Linked DNA regions of Oreochromis niloticus. The protein of the gene in region 2 purifies or fractionates together with the protein of the main gene of each other region. This does not show direct contact. Links are inferred from orthologs where the notes say so. Each region holds a gene or a part of one and is shown on either strand. Other genes may lie near its edges.

Evidence for each region. The genes of interacting proteins can lie anywhere in the genome.
Region 1: the proteins of ube4b (region 2) and ubl7b purify together in Homo sapiens (affinity purification with mass spectrometry; 3 studies listed by BioGRID and IntAct, counting the BioPlex papers as one, with this or other methods). This does not show direct contact. The link is inferred for Oreochromis niloticus from reciprocal best matches to the Homo sapiens genes UBE4B and UBL7.

Annotation. Positions count from the first base shown.
Region 1 is NC_031965.2:29,413,675-29,421,701, reverse strand, and holds the start of ubl7b (ubiquitin-like protein 7b), read right to left. Parts: upstream 3,003-8,027; 5' UTR 2,908-3,002; intron 2,888-2,907; exon of another isoform or gene 2,695-2,887; intron 2,507-2,694; 5' UTR 2,480-2,506; coding exon 2,305-2,479; intron 2,217-2,304; coding exon 2,097-2,216; intron 2,004-2,096; coding exon 1,894-2,003; intron 1-1,893.
Region 2 is NC_031984.2:22,088,190-22,095,976, reverse strand, and holds the start of ube4b (ubiquitin conjugation factor E4 B), read right to left. Parts: upstream 3,060-7,787; 5' UTR 2,733-3,059; coding exon 2,706-2,732; intron 1,707-2,705; coding exon 1,487-1,706; intron 1-1,486. Other genes in the region: rbp7a (retinoid-binding protein 7a), read right to left, coding at 5,051-5,122, 5,253-5,354, 5,495-5,673, 5,841-5,913. UniProt on the Homo sapiens protein: Ubiquitin-protein ligase that probably functions as an E3 ligase in conjunction with specific E1 and E2 ligases. May also function as an E4 ligase mediating the assembly of polyubiquitin chains on substrates ubiquitinated by another E3 ubiquitin ligase.

The DNA.
Region 1 (8,027 bases), on a different chromosome or scaffold from region 2:
TATAAACAACATCTATTAACCTGATTTTTTTTGTTTCACTTTTCTCGTGGCAATGCAGTATATCAGTCTGCCAAAAGTACAAAGAGGCCAAGCACTACTGTAGCATGGGCAAGTACTAGTTGTTCAAATACATTATATATAATGTAAATGACAAGTTGAGGATGATAGCAATGATGTTTGAGGGCCATAACACAGCACCCAAAGCATGTGAACTAACAAGTACCTCTGATTATATACATCTACAGGACCTGCTGTATCATCTGACCTGACTTTTATGAGCTACACTATACGGACCAAAGAACTGGGGCACACACTTCATAACTCTTTACCCCCTGAAAGGTTACTAGAAGTAACCCTTAAACTTGTTTTTCTGAAGTGAATGGTTTCTGCCATATGTCAGGCCTGCTTAAAGAACAAGATTACTGGGTTTGGTCTCTGCCTGTGCAGCCTGGAAAAACCCAGAAACAATTCCAATGGATGTCAAACAACATCTCTCTTTTTTTTAAAGATTTATTCTGGGGTGTCAAAACTCATCATTAAGGGGGTACAGGGAGGTCATCAAATGTTGTCTTTATGGGGGAAAGATTTAATAATTGAATAAGGTGCACCTGGAGCTCCAGTAGACCAGGGCCAAGCAGCTCCTGTAATGCATATGTGGCACACTTGTTTTGTTCATATAGTGCACTATGAATAGTAGTGACTTATTTATACCAGTTTATGTAGAATCCACATAGTCCAATCGTTTTTTAAGCCAACATGCTGTAATGTTGCTGAGGTTGAATGCTGCAAAAGCTGCAACAGTTAAACTCATTTATGTTTAAAGCAGCTCCTAGTGGCCTGGGGTCTGTTTATTCATAGCTCTGACATGCAACTAGGGTGATGCAATCAGAGGTAAACACCACTGAACAAAGATGTGACATCATCCAAAGGACAGTGGAGAAGATTCCAGCTGCTTGCGCCAAACTATCTCATGGTCAAGGACAAACGCTTATTTGTTTACTTATTTATGTATTTATTTTAGTTTAAGGCATGACCAAAATAAAATTGAGTGCCTGTGTCAAATAACTTTATGCAAGCTGTGAAGCCACATGGTCTAAAAAAAAAAAAAAAGAGCTAAGGCATATGGCCAATGAATTATGAATGATTTTTTTTCCATTCTTACAGCTGATTCATGTTTTCACTTGATAACTATTCCCTTATCTCAACACAAAACAACATTTCTTAACTGGAACTACACTGCTGTCTGTTCAAGGCATGTAATCACTGTAAAAAAGAAGCAGCTGTGAAACCACCAGCTGAGTGGTTCATATTTAGGGCCAACTGTTTTACGCACACTTGTCATTAATGAAAGAGTACCATGTCTTTCAAAAACAGAAAATGTCAACACTTGTGTACTTTTCTCTGAAAGATGAACTGCCTTGTCTAATGGCAGGGCTCTGGAAAGTAAAGCAGCTAATGATAGCTTCAGGACAATACATGAAACTCAAAGTGACCTTCAGTGGTCCCATTCTACTGCATGTGTCTGTTAGAGGTGCTGAAATGAGTTTCTTATTCCGGTACTTTACTTCAAATAGAGTTAACACATCATGGACTAACACTGGAAAACCAATGTTAATTTATAACTTCATTAACTAATCTAATATATTGTACATAACAGCACCCACCCCTAGCTGAAACAGCAGCTTGTTTACACATTTCCCTAACAAGCAAAAGACCTCTGGTTCTTCTTTTCTCAAACAAAATGTAGATATTAGCCAGTTTGGTATTAATAAAATTTGATATTAGCCAAAATGGTTGTTGTGGAGAGAGAGAAATCTCATAAGAAGTGAATGAAAGATCAAGTTCTTTTTAACACTCACTAAAATTAGCTGAATACCTAAGCAGCTCAGTTACCGTGAGTGTGTTTCCTCTACTCACTGAGTCCCTGTAGGCAGAGCTGAGAGAATGAAGAGCAGCATGAAACACCCTGAACTCCCTTGCTGCAGTTACCCTGTTTACAGGCTCTGGAAAATACAAACACACATTCAGATTCACAAGTTCAATGTCATTTACAGCTTAAACACAGTTTTAAGCTTAAATGATGCATACACACAGACCTGGACTACTCTCTGGCTCTGGCCATGTCTTTTTGAGGATGTGTAAGGTGGATCCTGGTTGAATCCCACAGGCATCCAGTGTAAGGTCATCTTTAAGTTTCCGGCCACAGTGGATGAACTCTGGTTAACACACAGAAGAGAGTGGTGAGATTTTCACACAGAGACATGCACAGATTTCACTGACAGCTAACGGATGATGGTGACGTACCTATTAGCTCAGGGTCTGGGATGGAGTCTGGGAACTGAGCTGCAACAAGCTGTTTCAGGGTGGCGACCCTGTATCCTCCAGGTGGAACATCACCTGGCATCATCTCCGGGAAGTGGAAGATGGATTTGGGCTGATCAACCAGCTTCAAAGACAGATTCCATTCTGACGAGGCCATCTCTTCCTGTTTATTAACCCTACACACCTGCAATTAGTCCACAGAACACAAGCTTAACACGGTGGGGTAGACCACAACATATACCCTGTTAGCTAACAGTATAATATTACAGCTTCACTCTGCTTCAGTGTGAAGATACGGCAGGTCTTTTTGACACAAAATAAACCTTAGACCCATGATCCACAGGAGGAACTCACGTCAAAATGCGCTATTACCTGACGATTACCTTTTCTACGAGGTTGTAATGAATCACGTTACCACTCAACCCGGTTAGCTGCCTAGCGTTTGCTCACGAAGCATGCCGATTTTCTAAATTAAACTTTTCATGCCGTTTAGTTTGGGTGATTTAAAAAAAATCTTTAAAAATAACTGAGTCTTACAGAACTAAGAATAAAACTAAAACTCTATATGAACAACTGCACACTCACCCTTTCTTTGTTGACACTGAATCCACTTCCTGGTTTTAGTCACGTGTCTAAGTTGCGTTTACGTCCACTGTCCAAACAAAGGAGCTTTCACTTTTCTGTAATATTCATAGATAGATATATTTTCGAAGATTTGTGATGACTCCTTAACACACACACACACACACACACACACACGCGCGCGCGTATAAATAAAATCATTATTGGAATGGGAAATAAATGGAAAATAAATGTTAATCCAACTTAGCTTTCGGTCAGACTGTTACATCAGCATCTCTATCCCATGGCATCTGAGGGAATACGCTAATTCTAATCTCACAATTAGCGTATTCCCACATAGAATGAGTTTCATATCCTACCTGTCCAAGATGGAATCAGTCCAAAATTTCCCAGCCCCCAACTGATAAACCTTTTGTAACCCACTTTTTTCAAACTACCTTGATCGCTGTAGTGGGGATTCACTTAATACCAAAATGGGCTTTCATGCTCTGAAATCAGTATTCAGAGAATTGGCATCACTTTACTGATATGGAGATTAATAATGATAGAGATTATTAATGAATTTGTGTTAATAGCTGTGGATAGATTATATTTTATATTATATTTTCTTTGTTTTCTGATGATGCTGACTTAACTATATTGGACTGACTATGTGTGTTAAAGTGCATACAGTATATACTGCACTGAATGGTTAATTAGTCCACTTTTACATGCAGAATTGAAAGAAGGTTTTACACAGAAACAAGTAAAAATCTGAATATTGTTTACAGATGTGAGGAAAGTGTTTTGAGAGCCTTGCTGAGGGAACTGGTAGTGTTACTAATTGGAATAAACAATCATGCAAATATTCTAATATAAGGAAGTATTAATATGTAAATTCATAGGTCACTATCTATGTCTGTTGCATAAAGCAGATTAATAATGACATTCTTTCATATCACAAAATCAACATCAACAAAGCAAATAAAACAACATCTCACAAAACAGGGATGGGCTATGGGCTATTATCACAAAGGTAAACAATACTATGAATAATAGATTACAATAAAGAGCCAATTATTTTCTATAAATCTTGATTTGATTGGTTAACATGTGCTACAATATGTAAAAGACTAGTCTGAATTACCAATAAACCGCTAGACAAGTGTAAGTGGCCACTTTGAATGAGCAATAAGTGCCCTTGGGTAGCTAATCAATTACTTTAGATGAGCAATTAACGAGTAAACATTTGTGAAAACCATAATTGACAGGAAATATGTCAGCCTGTTTCGCTGTAGCTGTACCTATCCATTACTAATCTGTCACTTAAGGAAAAGGAAGGGAGAAAGAAAATTTTAACATGCTTTTTAAAGTTCATAAAATCAGGATTGTATTATAATGCAAATCAAATTTTGGGGAATAACTGAAAAAAAAGTCCTACTGCTACTACTACCATTAAATTATACACTTCTGTAATCGCCTCGTTCTCACCAGTTCTGCAATCAATGATAGACTTTATCACAAAATTATACCCTTTATACAAAAAAAATCAACCTTTATGTATTATGTTGTGCATTGCTTGTATTTGCTGCTAATATCCTACCAAATGACAACGTGCACAACTATCGACACATTCTCAGCTTTCTTTCACTCCAGTTTCCCTCGTTGTTTAGCAGCTCTGTAGGTGTCTGTGTGGGTCTGGCCTCTATAGAAGTTTCTTTCTGTCTTATTTTGCTAGTTCTTTCTAGAGTTTTGTGTTTAGGTTTGCTTACACTCCTGTCTCATTGTCTTTATTTTTTATCATCTGTGTGTACTCTGCTTTGTCGACTTCTCTTGGTTACCCTTATGTATATTAAAGTCTACTGTCTTCTCCTCAGCCTTTATCACCATGCCTGTTCATCCTTCTAGTGTGTTTCCCAGTCTTATTCTTGCATGTTTGTGGACTTTTTCCATTTTTGAATTGGATCCAAACAACAAACAAAACATTATCTTTAGTAGCGAATGAGATCCATTCACTACTAAAGGTGTGTTTTGTGTGTGTTTACTTTGCCTGCCTTCTCAGTGTGCATCTAGGCCCTAATTTCAAGCTTTGTGACAAATAATTTTGTTTTCTCCTGAGGGGTATACTATAAATGTAGTTCAACACAACCAAGCTTTCTTTGCCTTAGCTGGCTCGACAAAATTTAAAACCCAGTTGGATACGATGGGTATCATGACAGCGGTTATCAACTTTCTCAGTTAAGCTAGGCTTTTTGCTTCAGGCTCTGTGCTTGCTCACAAGAAAAAGTGCCTTTAATGGGTTGTATAACTCTTCTTTCACACAAAATGATCATTATGAGTGCTGACTGCTCCAATAAGAGACATTAGCAGATGATGATGATAAAATTGTGATGAAAAATCAATAAAGAACATCTAAAATATAACAGTAAAATGCAACCCTGTTGCAAATGAGACAAAAGATTAATACTGAAGAAAATAGTTTATCTTGGGCTTTAACAATTTCACAATTTACATGAAGAGTGGTAAACATTTTAATCCCAGTTAAAAATATTTTTTATCACTGAGCGCACTCTCAGTACCACTATTTATTTTTAAGGTTACAGCTGCACATTAGTGCTCTGAAATGTCAAACTTTAATCAATTTAAAGGTTAATTTTTACCATCCCATAGCCCGCTAAAGAAGACGTGGAAATCACTTTAGTTTTGTCAGCAGATCAAAGTGAAATGAATTTGCCAAGCCATTAATATCACTTTGTAGCACACTCCTGTTATTGTTTTGTTTTCTATAGAATGTTGTGTTTTATGAAGTACAGCAATACTGTATGTGGAAAGAAAAGTCTATGACTGCATGTGGGGGAAAAAAGTGTGCCAAATAATGCTTAATTTATGGCACCATGATTGTGTCCATTTCCATATGTATTTGGCTATGGAGAAGGGTTTTCAATCAACCTAAAAGTGCTCCAGTGCAGTCCTCCAGAATCCCAACTGCAGATTGCTGGATGTGGGTAGTGCTGTGTATTGGTCGAATGCTGACCTGTTCCCAGAACTGGGAAAAGAAAAAGAAGAAAACAGCAGAATCCACCAAGAATGGAAGAAGCACAAAAAACCCATATAAGATATTACAAAAAATTGAACATTGTATGAACATTGCAGACAGTGGCTGCAGTGGACAGTTTCCATTATTTTTATTTAGTTTTTGTCTCTGTAAGAGTATCATACTTTTGACACAACCCCTATCTGACAACAGACACTGTTTGTAGCTCTTCACAGACTGCCACAGACGCCCAGCGCACTACCACTGCTGAACCATAATTTCCTACTTAGGCGGCACATGGATGGTGCCAGTGTGTGTGTGGCTTTTTTCAATGGCGTTGTTTTGAAATTACAACCAAATTGCAAGCATCCAAAAATGATTTACAATAATTTGTGTTATCTCCGGGTGAAAACAAAAACTTGCCAAGCACAACACAATTTATTCTTTCGTTATTTGTGTGTGTGTGTGTTTTATTCTATTAATTTATTAACCTATTAATTAAAAAATTGTAAATTTTTACCACATTAGGGCCACCATACCTTTTAGGACCATACGATAGCGATTGGCTAATAATATATAAATAAATACATACATAAAGAAAAAAAAAGTTGTTTAGGTTTTCTGAACACACTCGGACTTGGAAGTACTCAGTCAAACTATGTATTTATCCTGAAATACTGTAACGTGGCAAGAAAAGTCGATGAGTTCGCGGAAAAAAGGTACGACGACTAAATGGTTAACTGGGGGATGGGGGTCAGCATGACATCACTGCTGGACGAAGCAGCAAGGAGTGGTTTCTGTGAAGAGCTCCCCGTCCCAAATCAATGGAACATACCCAAACACTCAGGAAAAACGCCCTCTAGTTTTATCCAGCGTCAAAACAAAGTGTTATAGCCGTGCTTTGCTCTAAGAGGAATGAACTGCTCTGGAAAATCACACCGCCAGCGCTGAACAGAGAAAAGAGTCGCCTCCGCTGGAGGGTTGGTGGTTTTCAAGTTTCTCCCTCTTGTCATGGTAAGCATTTATACATAGTGTTTGGGGGCAAAAGCACCAGCTAACCGGGATGTTTTGTTTGTATCATAGTGAAAAAGCCAACGGTAAACTTGGGTTATTTTAAAAGAAGAGCAACAGCTGGGGAGAAGGGAAACTCCACGAAGTCGGGCCAGGGAGGCGCTATGGCTGAATTACACAGGCTTAGTCTGCTCTGTTCACCGGGTCTAGAGACACGTCTAGTACAGATGTTTGTAGCTTACCTTTTAAACAAGTCGTAGGCCTACTAAGCTAGATAGTATACTCTATCAAAAATGGAGCTAAAAAGCTAATATTTATGAATTAAACGGACTGCGCCCTCGTTTGATAGAAAGTGAGCATTGCATTTAACGGTAGTTCCATATAAAGTAACATTCATAAAGAAGCTGGTTACTACTGCAATATCTTCCCCCAGTTTCCTCATACTTTCTTTCTTTGTGTTTTTGATTGAGCTGTGGTGATGGAGGCCCGTGTTATATCAGTGTTACTAGATTCAAACAAACTGCATGTGGGGTAAATAATACCCTGGTAGTACTAAAAAGTTCTACCAGACTGATAATTTGATATATCTAACCCAAAAAAATCAAACAAACAAGCTATGCAGGCTAAAGGTTTGAATATTAAGAACACATATACTTTATTTACTTTGAATACAGTTTAACACCCCTGTTATAAATTTAAATAAAGGCTAAAGTTTTTTTGTGTGAGGTCTCTTTACAGTCATATATTTCCTCCATTAACTGTTAAAACTGTTAACTGCTGTTTCAGCTGCTGTTCTGCTTCAGTACAGATCTCTTATGTGTTTTTTATGAGACTTGTATGTGTTTACCTTTGTAAACTAGAACCAAATCAGACAAACCAAATCTCAATATGTGGGGGATAAAAATAAGATAAAAATGCTTGCATGCATAAAGTGGCAAACCAGGTTATCCTAGATTACATTGGTCGCCAATCTGTACTCTAAAACAGATTAGGGCTTCATATTTCTACCATAGAAAGACAAGACTTTCTCCTAATTTTTGCTTCTTAATGCAAAACTTGAAGGATAAGTTTTTCTCTAGAGTGAACTTCTTGGATGTCA
Region 2 (7,787 bases):
ACAGCGATTACAGTAACGACATTACAGTCAAAAAAAAGCACACTAAGAACTCTGAGGAAATTAAATCGAAACAAAAAACATGATGGATCCAGGTCATTGATGTCAAACAGTCACCCAAAACCAAACATCAGTCATGTTTACTCTTCACTTTCAACTGGCCTTCGTACAGAAAGAAAACAAGACACCTTTACCAGTGAACTGTGTAAGCACACAGGGCTGATTCCTCTTTGAAATGCCCTCGAGTTATGTTTCACATTAAATCCTATTTTCTCGGATGTATTCAATGAAAATATTTTGAAACAAAAAGAATAAACGAATCAAATACCTTGCGTGTGGACTGGCAAACGCATTTGGATGTTGTGATCAAAGGGAATCCTAATTTTCTATGTCAGTAAATGTAATGACTAAAATCTGAGACATACGCAGTACATACATCTATACATGGCTGGCATAATATCAGAGTGTGATGACATGAAAAGATCAAGAAAGGAAGACGAAATGAGGAAGAGGTTGTGCAAAATGGCCCTAAAGTTGTGGCAGTAGTCGGGGAAAAAAGTATACATTTGCCAGAAAAAAAAGACTCCGTTAGAGCTGCTGAAATGAAGAAAATATTAATATACATATCTACAAGTTTTTAAAGAAGAAACAGCAGGTTTGAGGCTTTGATTTTGAAATGATTGTTCAGTTCAGTTTTTATACAAAATAAGTTTTTATCGTCTTTATCTTTCCTGATATTGTAATCAAAGATGACGTTTAATGCTGAAAATAAGGCACTTTTTACTGCCATTCTCTAACACTTACCACTGGGAACCACACAAAGATATGACATGAATAGGCAACCATGTACAGTTTTAGAATTCATGTCACAGCTATTGCTTAAAGAAGAACCAACTGTTTAGTCAGTCTGGGTTAGCAAAGGCTCAGATTGGAATTTTTAAGTTGCTTACTGACTACTGCAGACAGGTAGTGAGAAATCTGATTAACAGAGGATCTTACACCGGATAGGGGGCTGGAATTAACAGCTCTCTCCTGGTTATACAACAATCATGCAATCGAATGATTACCCTACCAATGTCAGATGTAATACACATTAATAAGTTGGTGTGTAGGTATGGCTTGTCCAACTGCCAGTATTTTTTCTTCTTATTAATCACTTAGGAAATGCACCACTGGGCCTAAAAGGAAGACCTTTAAAGCAGCATGGCTATGCATAGCAACAAACAATGCCAGGAAACTGTTGCTGTATCCATACATGGATCTCTGCTGCATTTTCTAGAGCCCGTGCATGACTGAAGCCTCCATTCTACCTTTGTACTAGAGGGCTCACCATTCGTGTCTAGTAGGGTACACTTTTTGTCACAGTGTACCCTGATTTGGGGGATTTTTGATATTTTAACACTGTTCAATGTCACAAACTTTTTTCAATATTTTTTTTTATTTTTCCTTATAGGAAATTGCCTCCCAGAACCTTGTTTTAATTTCTTACCAGAGGTGCCCATAGGGGATGTAGCAGGGGTACCACTGTGGACATTGAGGCCCAGTGATTGAGAGGCAGCTGGTGGCACGGGTTGGGGTGCAGCACCTGAGGGTCCAGGGAGGGGTCCAGGTGGAGTCTCTCTCTGTGGGGATGTCAGGGGTGTGCTGAGAGGGGTGCTAGGCTGGGACGTTTGTCCTCCTGCCAATCGTGCCAATCTCCTCCTGCGAATCTTGAATGGGCAGATATACAGGGTCATTAAAAGAACTCTGTAGCTCTTCATAACTGCATAACGTTGAAATGTATTAATAGGTTAATAATAAACCTATATGTATGTATATAAATCCCTGGACACTGTAAGAATAACCAAATTATGCATATATTGCCCAGAAAAGACAGATCATTAAGGCACAGATTTTCTTTGTTGTACGTTTTAAAGTCAGATCTGAAGAAAAACATCGCGAATAAAGTCAGATGCGGACACGAATCGTCGCAGCTTGGCCGAGGAGCGACGTTAAAGCTAAATTATCTGCTGCACACTCTGCTGAATGCTAATCGAGCAGCTGAAAATGATGACTGTAAACTGCAGTATGCTGTATGCGATTTCACATAAACAGCTCAATGGCCATGCATCGGCCCACGGCTGATTGCACAATGGTGGCCCGGTCTCTGTGTGTGTTTTTTATGCTGAGTCGTCTCGCAGGCTAATTTCTGTCTGTCAGCTAAACCGCCGCGAGGTGACACGCGAAAACAAATCAGTCAAAAGGTATTCCCTTCCTAACTTCCCTGTGAAAACACAACACAGACAAATATCTGCCACTTACAAGCGGCTAACAAGATCTTGAAATATTTTCGATGCTTTATATAAGAGCAGTGTTCTCCAGCTTGTAGCATTACGTTAGCTACTTTCATTTAGCAACCCAGCTGCTCCAGCTAAATAGAACACGGCCCAAATCCACCTCTCGTTCTTTCACTTCTTATATTCCCAATATAAGAAGTGAATAACTGGCCTTTGAGTTAAACTGCGTAACACCCACTACCGTGTTCTAGCTAACTGAGATTTTTGTCGAAAATGTATTTCTTCCATCAGCTAGTTTTTGTAGCACCTCAGCTAGCAGCAATACCCCTAAAAGGGGTAAAGGAAGAATTTGCAAAACGTACATTTGTAACGTCAGTAACGTAAAATCATTTCAATTCCCTGTGTAAGCGTTTATTCATATTGTCACCTTACCTCATCTGCGCTCAACTCCTCCATCATCCCAGCTAAGACAGCTAGCTATTTCACTTTCTAATGCTTTAATATGCCAGCCAGAGCCAGCTAGCTAGCTTGTATTAGATCTAAATATGCATAGTCTAACTCATTCAACAAATATATGTGTCAGGCTTTTGATTGTCTTCAAGATAAAAAACGACACCGATATTCGGAGGATGGCGAAATATAGTTCCCCCAAAAAGTCTGCTGTTTGCTGGTTTTCTACCAAGAATGAAACAAAAAGAAAAGTAGCTAGCTATTATACGTCAAAATACAACAGCGGCCATTTTGGTTCCACAAGTCACGTGACCAAAGGGACCAAAGGTGGGGGTGCGTAGCGTGTCGCACAGATAAATGGAGTATTTCACCTGTTGTGTAAGTATAAAAGTCTGTTTTAGGTCACTTCAATGTAACGCTCCTGCATTAGCATGACCTCGGGTTATAACTGAGGTCACAGTTACCACATACAACGTATCAAACTGAGCGTGCGTGAACCATGGCCAGTCAGAGGGGTGCAAGGTCACTGCAAAGACTTATATTAGTGACGTAATTGCCAATCATCTGTCACCAGGTAAAGATGCCTGCAATATACAGTATGTGCCTATACATTTTATTTTAATGCCTATTTATTTTTACCGCAGTTACAGCCACATCACGTGTGTGACAGGGTGGGCAGTACACCAGATGAACTGAACAGGCAACCAAATTTGACAATTTTTGGTAATAACTCGCCATAATTAATAAATATATATATATACATATATATATATATATTTTTTTTTTTTTTTTTTTTTTTTTTTTTTAAACACAGGCAGTCAGTATACAAAATACCCAGTTTCCTTGGGCAAGACACTTAAACCTTGAGTTGCCCCACCTGACTGATCAACTAACTAGAAAGTACCAGTTCATTCACTATTTACATGGAATACTCATAAATATATGGTATGTGCATTGAGAAATGCAGCTACATTTATAAAAGTGCAAAAATATCTGTCCTGGATTGAGTCTTGAGATTGAAAAAAAAGAGGTCAACTGGATTTCTTTAGGTTTGTGAAGACGTTTCACTTCCCATCCAAGAAGCTTCTTCAGTTTTTAAAACAAATGAAGAAGATGGAGAGTCCCAGGTATATAACCCCTGGTGGGGGCTGTCCCCTTTGGAGGTGGTCCTGATGGTGTGAAAAAAGGTGTGGGTCATTACCATTACCTGGGGTTAAGGGTAAAGTCACTATGAGACCTTGCCCCACCCCATGTGACCTATTTAGGTCACCTAAGGCAAAGTGTGAGTGGTGTATGAAGCGCCTGGGAGTGGATCATAGGTAGCTGACGGGTGGTGCTGCAGAGTCAAATCAGATGACACATTTACTCTGGGCACAGAAGTGGATCAGTGAAGGGCAGCTGTGAGCGCAGAATTTCCTCAACACATTTCTATTTGTCTGGCAATTTGTGCAATTATCAAGTAGGATTGAGCTTTAAAACTAGCTGCACACGCTGATGATTGACCTCTTTTAAATTACAAAGAGACATGAGGGGTTCTCCCCAAAGTGTGACCTGCACGGGACAATCCGCTCAGTGTCCTTTAGTCATGCTGGTTACCACTATTGCTGCAGAAGCACTAAACTACTGTTACCTGAAGCTTCCACCGCACAGAGCTCAAGCAGCAAATCGTATGCATTAGTGTAACTTATAACTGAAGTGTGTCAGCAGTATTTAGCCGACGGGGTATGGTGACTTTACCAGTCGATCCGATGCTGACGTGTGATTAATGGCACAACAAAAACCTGTCAGTTTACTAAGAACACAATAAAAAAAAATGCTTCAACTTTTACATCAGATTTATTTTTCTTACTCACATATTACATACAACAAAACTGTATTCCAAACATCCTACGAATAACCTTCAGTTACACTGGTTATAAGTGTTCTTGAATGAACAGAAATTTACAGAAACATTGAACAAAATGCACGACGGAGAGCACAAGCTGCACCCGTGTCTCCTTTTTCTCATAGCTCTAAATATTTAACAAAAAATACATTTTTTTCAGCCAGCTGAAAGGTGCTATAAACATTTTTGACGGTTTGGGATAGAGGCACGCACCGACAGGCTACAGGACCAGACAGACCAGCATCTGACAAAAGTATTGCAGCGGTACCATCTAGTGGTGTAAATGCATACCCCGAGAGTACAGACGTTTCCACCTGAACCGAGTATTTAAGCGACGGGTAAGACACCAGTCGTAACTCTCGGTGTGGATTCTCAGTCAGGGTTGGATCTAATACATAAAGCCTTCTAATTCTGGACCACCTCAAGATCCTCCTCCAACTCTTCATTCTTCTTCTCTCGTCTTTGAAACGTTCTTATAAACCTGCTTGCAGACTTGTCCTTCGCAGAATAGCTCCTAAAGAGAAAGGGTCAGAAAAGCTTTAATAATTACATTTTATTTAAATATAACAGATTAAAATGAGTTCAATAATACATAGTTTTTTAATTCTGTGTATTATGTAGAATGTCCAAATTCACAGTCTTACCAGATGAAGCTTGTCATCTTCAATCCAGTGAGTCCATCCCCTGTTCTTCTTCTCTCCAGTCTGTTCACATATTAGTTTGTTCCCCTCCCATCTCACAAGCGACTGCAAAGGGAACAGAGAAGCGAAAGTGTGAATCACGACTTGTTTTTCAACATGCATAATATTCAAAGTACATTAATTATCTATTAAAAAACCCCCTCCAATTATGATATTTATGATACACTCTAGCCATTCCCATTTACCTTCAGGTGTCTGTTGTCTAGTCCCTTTGTAAACTCATTAAATTCCTGGCCCACTTTGAAGGTGACCGTGTAGTTTCGGAAAGTGCTCGTGGTTTTGATGATGAACTGGTCCCCCTGCCGCTCAATTGTTTTCTTTAAGTTAAGTTTCGTAGCAATTTTTCGTAAGGAAGCGCTGATGCCTGGAAAAGTGGAAACAGAGGTTGAGCCATAGGCACAAATTCATTTTCTCATTTCTCGCACAGTTAAATGATAAATAGCCCTGCTGCCGTGTTTTTCTACAAAAGTGCATTTTGAATGAGGTGAATGCACATTCTCATGAGGGAAACAACACGCTTGAAGGACTTACCCAGCACAATCATGTAGTCGTCAAAGTTGACATTGCTGATCATCTCCCATTTGCCACTCAGGCTGGCAGGCATGTTGACGAACTTGACTTTTCCTTCTTTTGGGAAGCGTGTAAGTGCAAGGTGATCCTGAGCCGGTCAGGTGCAGACTGCTGAGAAGAGGCTGAGGCAAATGCTGTTTATATGAGGTCAGGAGACACAGAGGCAGGTGTGTCCTGTCACCTGAGGATGAGAGAGGTGAACTGATTTGTTCCAGAGTAAAGAAGAGGCCAGACGTGTCAGACTGGTGCAACAGTTCAGTCTAAGCATGGCTTTGAAAATTTGCCCCAGGCATCACGCCTTTATGGCATTCAAATCCTAGTGGTGCATGTTATCCAGAAGCAATGTTTGGATTTGAATGACAGACTGAAAGGCTTTTATCCTTTTCTTTTAATAAAACAAAAAGTTACTCAGAATTAATCACTTGTACAATGATGGCAAAGCAGTCACTCTATTTCTCTTACATAACTGCAGTAAATACAGCCATGTGAAAAGAGTTTTTACATGACTAAGTACACAAACTAAGTACACCCTAATTGCTTCGATAGGAATTAAGAAGGTAAGCAGCAGCAAGGAGCTGCTGGAATCGTTGGAGTCGTTACCAGGAGAAAGCCTCTTCTCTCTAAAAAGAAAAAGGCAGCACATGCACAGAAGAGTGGACCAAAGTTCCTCCACAACCATGTCACTTTCTGTTTGACTGAAAAATCAAACAGAAAGTTGTAACTTCCAAGTTACTGTTTCTAAAGGTGGTTCTACAAGCTAATATATATAGGTAATAATAATAATAATAATAGGTAATAATCATGGGGTGTGCTAAGGGCTGCACAGTCCTGTTGAAATCTTTGTTTTTCACGACTATAAATGTTATATCGACTGATTTGCACACTATACTTTTTACTGCACAGTTAGAGAAATCTTAAATTGTGATTAGGATGTGTAGTAGCTGGTAGGCATACATTTTCTAGCACTTTATCTTTTTTTGTAATGTTTTTGTACTATGTGTGAATTTGCTGTGGCACTGGACTCGCTCTGAGTTTCAATAATCTACATATTCCCAGTTAAAAGAAAAAAAAAAATCATGCTTATCTCATTTAAGGTTTTATATTTATATAATAGTTGTAGAGGGAGAGGGATTTCAATATTCCAGTTGTTCAAAGCTGGCTTCAGACATAAACAGAATCAGACAGCTACTGATTCTTACGAACAGGGCCTACGTAAAAATGGCACACCTTTATGTGCAATGAGGAACATAGTGACACTGTTGCATACTCTGTCATGCAGTGTGAAAAGGATTGATGTAAGCCAAGTGTGGAAAAAAAATAAATGAAACACATGGCACTTATCCAAATACTCAGGTGTTGTTGCTTCTTCTGACGGGTTGTCTTGTGACATGGGAAAACCACGTCAGGGTTTTTTCCCTGCCAAGACTCTAAATGTGCGTAAACACAATGCAGACGTACTAACTGCTTAAATAAAACACAGAGGAGTTTGGGATGCTAGCTAAAACATACTCAGAGTAAATTGGTAGAAATAATAATGTTTTTCAAAATTAATCATAATAAAATTATTATTATTATTAAAAAGCTACTACTAATAATGATCAATTCTGATACTAATGATGATGTTCTCTGTTATATTTTAATTTTAAACCCCATTACTGTAATCAAATCTCTTCATTTGGCTGATGTTTTGTTATTTCACCTGAAATCTAAAAGTGAGGATGATCCTGCGAGATAATCATTTTCATCATGAAAGCAAAGCTGAGACTTTACTGGAGATATTTAAGGATTCTTATCTGTGCGATGAAAGCAACAATGAACGGCTCACAAGGTGGAAAACAAAGATTTATTTCTTTATCTCTTTATTTCTAGAATATCACAAATCATGTCTTTACTATCAGATCTGCAGAA